Zea mays: one gene and its partner. The protein of the gene in region 1 interacts with the protein of each later gene in a pairwise test. Links are inferred from orthologs where the notes say so. Each region holds a gene or a part of one and is shown in the gene's direction. Other genes may lie near its edges. The genes, in order: Probable UDP-N-acetylglucosamine--peptide N-acetylglucosaminyltransferase SEC-like and myb-related protein 306.

What was found.
Region 2: the proteins of Probable UDP-N-acetylglucosamine--peptide N-acetylglucosaminyltransferase SEC-like (region 1) and myb-related protein 306 interact in binary tests that used the Arabidopsis thaliana proteins (3 or more experiments, as listed by UniProt). The link is inferred for Zea mays from reciprocal best matches to the Arabidopsis thaliana genes SEC and MYB30.

Annotation. Positions count from the first base shown.
Region 1 is NC_050100.1:164,679,903-164,683,730, reverse strand, and holds part of Probable UDP-N-acetylglucosamine--peptide N-acetylglucosaminyltransferase SEC-like, read left to right. Parts: intron 1-1,729; coding exon 1,730-1,792; intron 1,793-1,891; coding exon 1,892-1,970; intron 1,971-2,267; coding exon of another isoform or gene 2,268-2,285; coding exon 2,286-2,395; intron 2,396-2,472; coding exon 2,473-2,526; intron 2,527-2,597; coding exon 2,598-2,665; intron 2,666-2,771; coding exon 2,772-2,874; intron 2,875-3,030; coding exon 3,031-3,233; intron 3,234-3,339; coding exon 3,340-3,436; intron 3,437-3,828.
Region 2 is NC_050097.1:186,383,369-186,386,835, reverse strand, and holds myb-related protein 306, read left to right. Parts: upstream 1-1,453; 5' UTR 1,454-1,622; coding exon 1,623-1,755; intron 1,756-1,856; coding exon 1,857-1,986; intron 1,987-2,113; coding exon 2,114-2,831; 3' UTR 2,832-2,893; downstream 2,894-3,467.

The DNA of each region.
Region 1 (3,828 bases):
AATATAAGGCATGCACACATTTCAAGATTTAAACTTCATTATCTTTGACCAGCAAGTAGTCTAATTATATAAGAAAGTTTGAGTTGCAAAATGGTTAGATTTGGTTTGTATTTAGAAATTCCCTACTTTCTAATGATCAAACTTTTATTTCTGCAAATCATATACTGTAAGGAAATATGAATGCTTGAAGTGTGATAAGACCACACCAAGTCAAACCGCGCTATGGGCCTGTTTGGTTCAGCTTTTTTCTGACCAGCTTTTCTAAAAATCTGGCTGTGGGGAGAATCTGGCTGTGGGAAGAATCTGGGTATCATTACGATTACGTGAGGAGGAAGATAAAGTTGTTCATATGGCTCAGGATCTAGAAAGTGACGGATTCCTACTATTACAACGACTCAATTGATTATGTGTTTATGTTGATTTTGGATGGTTTTTGCCCCAACGAATTTTATAGAAGCTGGCTGAAAAGCTGAGCGTTTGGCAGTTCACAGCAGCTTTTGGTGGCCAGAAGCTGCCAGAAGCCGAAACAAACAGGGCCTATATATTTTGGGATGGAGTACCTTAAGTCACTTATGTCGTTGTTTATCGAGGTCCCTATGTCCTGAATTGGATTTTTTGTGGTGCGTGTGAAGGTCGTAAATCATTTTATTTCCATGGAATCTAGGAAAATGGAAGTCGTTTCATGCATTTGTCGTGTCACGATTTATGTAGGGCTGAATTGTCTTTCTGTCACTTCCTAGCGCCATATTTTGGTTTTGAGATCTGGATCTCTGTTATTTATTTCTACAAATGATGTATTATAAAAGAAATGAGTGGTATAAATGTGATCTTGAAGACCACCCCGAGCCAAATCACACTTCATATTTTGGATTGAGTACTTGATGTCACTTATGCTATGTTTCATAGTTTTTTGAGGTACCCTTAGTTTGTTCTGAACTGGATTTTTTGTGTATATGAAGGTCGTTGATCATTTTATTTACGAATCTAGGGAAGATGAAAGTTACTTCATGTATTTGTCATTGCATGATGGTTTATTTTGGGCTAAATTGTCCTGTCACTTTCTAGTGTCATGTTTTGGTTTTGAGATTTGGATATTCCTTCAATGATTATTTTTTTGCTGCATAGCTCTTGTGTGTCTTGCAAATCTACCAAAATTGTGCTTTCTCATTGTAATGACTAATGAAGGGAATTTAAACTTGAAAAATAAAACTCCACTGAGGCTTATTTTGATCCACTTATTACCTATGCACCCAGATTTTCACCCGGTGTTGTATCATTCTCTTCATTTGATCAAACATGCATATTTTCCTATAGCGCCTGCTTATTATGCTCTCAAAAACTCGACTGGGGGGGGGGGTAAGGCAACCCCTGGGCATTGTATTAAGAAGACCTCACGCAGGTCGAGAAAACCCTAAACCCTTGTTGTCCCACCTATACACAGCAACACCGTAGGTCATGTGAGAACGACCGTGACCAAAGCCGGGCCATAGACCTGTGCTTTGGTAATGCAACAGACATGGGGATTTTTTTTAACCCTAGCCTGAAATTCGCTCCCACGAGGAGTCGAACTCAGGACCTGAGGAGTGCTACTCAGACCACCTAACCAACTCAACTAGAGGCCCTTTTGCTGCTTATTATGCTCAAAGAGAATAATAAAGCATTCCTTCTTTTGAGCATCCTGCTTGTAATGCTGATGGCGAATGTTTCCACCTTCTCTTGAAACTTGCAGGAAGCTGTTAAGCTTAAGCCATCTTTCGCTGATGCATATCTTAATCAAGGGAATGTTTATAAGGTAAGTCTATCGGTTGTGACACAAGTATCCTGCAAGAGAATGCAGGGATAACTTCGCTTTTGTAGGGAAACTGGATCTTATATATTTTTGGTTCTCCAGGCTTTGGGAATGCCTCAAGATGCCATTATGTGTTATCAACGTGCACTGCAGGCACGTCCTGACTATGCTATGGCTTATGGTGAGATTTGATTCTTTTTTCTTTGCCAAACCCTGGCCTTTCTGTACCAGAGTATATATATATATATATATATATATATATATATATATATATATATATATATATATATATATATATTATTTTCTTTAGAACTTAACTTTTAGCCCAAAAAATAAAAGTAATACTGATTAAAGGTTATCCTTCGAGTTCATTCATTTAGATACTCATCTCGGGTGAGATGCGAACAAGCTTACAAGAGAATGGTCCTTTCTTTACCTTCAAAGTAGAGCCTTAGTATACCTCGTAATACAAAGGTAGGGGAACATTTTCATGCAGGTAATCTTGCTACTATTTACTATGAGCAAGGCCAGCTTGATATGGCAATTCGTTGTTACAATCAAGCTATAGTCTACGACCCACAGTTTATTGAAGCATACAACAACATGGTTAGTCACTGATCCACATTTTTCAACTATTTTTATGTATAAATTGAACAACTAGTTTACAATTTTTATCTTTGTAGGGCAACGCACTTAAAGATGCTGGAAGAGTAGAAGAAGCAATCAACTGCTACAGAGTATGTTTTCCTGCTATTGGTTTGACTTGTTTACATGTAGCTCAGGTTGTGATCTAGCTGTATTTGTGCAGTCCTGCCTTGCACTGCAAGCAAACCACCCGCAAGCCCTTACTAATTTAGGAAACATATACATGGAGTGGTGAGATTCTTATGTGCACATATTCTTAATATTAAAGGAAATAAAAATTTATCTGACTTAACAAAGATGCAAGTGAGCTCATGATGACAAAAAAAATACACTGCAGGAACATGATAAGCGCTGCTACTTCATTTTACAAAGCAGCTATATCTGTGACATCTGGATTATCTTCCCCACTTAACAACTTGGCTGTGATATACAAGCAACAGGTGGTTTTCTTCCCTTCATTTTGTCTGATCATGTTGTAGTTGTAGGACAAAGTTCCTGTTCTAATGTTCAAATTAAATGATTGCTTGAACAATATCCAACACCTAATACCTGTTCTTTCTCTCTCTCTGATTTCTCTATTTTGTTGTATGCACCAGGGAAACTATGCTGATGCTATCACATGTTACACTGAAGTACTCCGTATAGATCCTACAGCAGCTGATGCACTAGTTAATAGAGGGAACACATTCAAAGAGATTGGCAGAGTTAATGAAGCAATTCAGGATTATGTTCAGGCAGCAACAATCAGGCCAAACATGCCAGAAGCCCATGCCAACTTGGCCTCAGCATACAAGGACAGGTATTCTATGAATCTTAAGCCTATGCAGTGTTAATATAATGCATTTAATTTCTGGCAGAATTTTTTATTTCTGTTTATAATATTGGTAAATGTAATCTTTTTGCAGTGGGCATGTAGAAACGGCTATAATTAGCTACAAGCAGGCTCTCCGGCTGCGTCCTGATTTTCCTGAGGCAACCTGTAATCTCCTGCATACTCTACAGGTACCTTGCAATTTTTCTCTACCCTTTTAACGCACTTGTGATATAAAGATTTGAATAAGACTGTAAACTTTGAGTAAATAAAAGATATGTTACAACATATTCATCTTTATGTTGTGTCTGCTACTTATGAAAATTAATACTACAGCAGATGTGTGCAAACATTCAAGGACATTGATGCAAAGTACAGCTCAATTATGATTTAACAGTGTTCACATATCATATAAATCTCTGATGGCTTAGTATTATGTTGACCTACAAAACCTGCTAGGTTGCTACCTGCATTAGGTTAAACATAATAAGGCTCTTATCGGATTATTGTCTCTGCTTTCTCATCTTTTCTGCCTTTTGTAATCCTGTACCGTTGAAGGTTTGGTCCAGTGATTTGAAGCAAC
Region 2 (3,467 bases), on another chromosome or scaffold:
TTATTTCTAACTATCTCGTTGGTTTTCTTGCAGTCGGCGTCACATGGTGGCCGGACCCTGCTCTGTTCCATACTCCTGTGAGTATTAAAATTGTAGTTAGATGCTGGTAATTCATCTGGTATAACACATGCAATCTCTTCTTTGTGCAGGGCCAATCTGCGGCGGCATCTAACAACCCTCATGGTTCGCCCAGCCTAACACAGCACCAGTCCAACCGCCCACCTCAATGAGAGTTATGTTTTTAGTGTTTAGACTACAAAACTTATGTTGAATACTTATGTCAGACCTTTAGACTTATGTGTTCATACTTCTGAACTTGTGTTGATATTGTTTGTGTTGAGAACTTCTGAACTTATGTTTGTATATTAATGTTTGTGTTGGATATTTATGTCTGTGATGATCTGTGATGTATATATGTGATATCTGTGAAATGTCTTTTGTTTGTTTGGATAAAATAGGAAAAACAAATAAAAAGGTGTGTACCGGTCACTTTGACGAGTGTTAGGACCATAGCACTCGGCAAAGAACCAAGACCTGGGCACCGGTATAGGTTCTTTGCCGAGTAGTGGCCCTGACACTCGGCAAAGAAACACACTTTGCCGAGTGCCATATAAAGCACTCGGCAAAGAACCTGACATGGGGACCCACTGACGGATTCTTTGCCGAGTGCTGGCCGGCAGACACTCGGCAAAGGTAACTCCTTTGCCGAGTGTCACCTAGGACACTGGGCAAAGACATCGTCTCCGTCACCCCGGCGCCGTAACGGTGGCTTTTCTTTGCCGAGTACTTCCTGGCACTCGACAAAGTCTTTGCCGAGTGCCCGAGAAAAAGTACTCGGCAAAGAAGGCTTTGCCGATGTAATGTGTACCGAGCCATCTTTGCCGAGTACGACACTCGGCAAATCCTTTGCCGAATGTTTTTATTGCCGAGTGTTTTTCAGGCTTTACCGAGTGTTTCAGGCACTCGGCAAAGCCGTCGATTCCGGTAGTGGTACCACATGTTCACATCTTTACTGTACTATAGCAAGATGTGTACACAACTATTATTGCAAGAAAAAAAACGATTTGTATTCACTAGCATCCTACCAAGCTGTGTACACACACCGATTTATTTCAAGTTCATTACGCCGTGCATCCTGCCACTCATGTCAAGAGAAAAATATGCACATAACTCATTTAATTGTAATGGACCATAAAAAAACATATCCATGAAAAGCAAATAAAAACAATTCCAGGTTTTGCTACCAAACCCGTCGATCGGGTTCAGACCTGAGACAGGCCATTGCGAGGTTGGCCTCTGTCCCGGGCCCCCGCTGTGCCCATGAGGGCATGTGGATGTAACACATGTCACGTCGCCGTTGATTATTAGCTCAGCAATCTTACCAGGGTCAAACTGTGTTCAATTGCCTTCTCTTCACTTGTTGCTATAAAGCTCCATCGCGCTGTGCGTGTATATATATGCATCCTGCCCCCACCCCCCTTTTACCTCCCCACTCGTCTGCACCGAATCGGTCGATCGGTGCTTTTAATCTCTGAGCAAGCGATCGAGCTCACCAACAACCACCGCGCTCAAGAGTAGCAGCCCGCCGGCCGCGCCGGAGCCGAAAACGACGAGGCGGTGGCATGGGGAGGCCGCCGTGCTGCGACAAGGTGGGAGTGAAGAAAGGGCCGTGGACCCCCGAGGAGGACCTCATGCTCGTCTCCTATGTCCAGGAGCACGGCCCCGGGAACTGGCGCGCCGTGCCGACCAACACCGGTACGTGATGAATCATATGATGAGAGGCGGTGGACTGAATTGCCTTCCAAGATCCATGTGATCCAAGCTTACTTGATTTTATTTTGGGCCGGCGCGTGCAGGGCTGATGCGGTGCAGCAAGAGCTGCAGGTTGCGGTGGACAAACTACCTCCGGCCGGGAATCAAGCGCGGCAACTTTACCGACCAGGAGGAGAAGCTCATCATCCACCTCCAGGCTCTCCTTGGCAACCGGTGATGATCCCTCGCCTAGCTAGCCTGTTCCCTTTCTTTTCCACCCCCTACAACAATGGACAAATCATACACGACACGAGGTGATGGTGTGCTGAGCGCTTGAGCTTGTTGTTGATCCGCCGTGCAGGTGGGCGGCGATAGCGTCCTACTTGCCGGAGAGGACGGACAACGACATCAAGAACTACTGGAACACGCACCTCAAGAAGAAGCTGAAGAAGATGCAGGCCGGCGAAGGGGGCGGGGGAGACGGCGACGGCGCAGCAGGTGCCTCGGAAGGCGGCGCCGTCGCCACCGCAGGCGCGGGAGGGAAGCGCCCGGCGGTGCCCAAGGGGCAGTGGGAGCGGCGGCTGCAGACCGACATCCACACGGCGCGGCAGGCTCTGCGCGACGCGCTCTCGCTGGAACCTTCGCCTTCGGCTTCGGCGCCGCCGCCGGCTAAGGTGGAGCCTCTGCCGGCGACCGCCCCGGGGTACACGACGTACGCGTCTAGCGCCGAGAACATCGCGCGGCTGCTGGAGGGGTGGCTGCGCCCCGGCAGCGGAGGGGGCAAGGGGCCCGAGGCGTCGGGCTCGACGTCGACGACGGCCACGACGCAGCAGCGGCCGCAGTGCTCCGGTGAGGGCGCGGCGTCCGCGTCGGCGAGCCACAGCGGCGGAGCGCCCGCGAACGCGGCGGCGCAGACGCCCGAGTGCTCGACGGAGACCAGCAAGGTGGCCGGCGCGGGCGCCGCGCCGCCGGCGTTCTCGATGCTGGAGAGCTGGCTCCTCGACGACGGCATGGGGCACGGCGAGGACGGGCTCATGACCGACGTGGTGCCACTAGGGGACCCCAGTGAGTTCTTTTAATCAAGGCCGCTGTACAAGTACCACTAAAAGCAAATTAATCAAGTAGAGATGCAAGAACAAAAGGGAAAAAAATAATCGCCGAGTTATTAGGTAATAACTAGTGAAGCAGAAATCCAACGAACCAAATTTCTTTGAATTCTCGGTGATATGGATCGAGTTGAGTGTCGATCTAGTTTGTTTTAATTCCCTCTTTTATCTTTTTTACGCTGTTGTTTCTCTGATGTTAGGGATTGGAACTGATCGTGTAAGCTTATACTAATGACAGGTTCCTAAAGGACCATGCATGAGAGTGACCGATAGAAAGAAGTGTACATCTTATATAAATTATTAAAAGATCTATATATTTAGAAGTTATAATAGATGCTCAATCCTCAATTATATTACTCCAATATTTTTCCTTCATCAAGCTCTATATATTTTTCGTGTTATTCTTACTCTACTACACGAATGGGGAATAAAACATTATAGTACTCCCTAGTAGTTCAGATCAACCATGTCTAAGTGATGCTTGCTTTTGTAGAATTATCTTGTGTAATTTTCATGAAATCCTTGCATATTGCAAATCCAAATGTAAATAATTGAATGGTTCTTTTCCAAAAGTTACTTGAGTTATTACTCTGCCATGTGCTTGATATA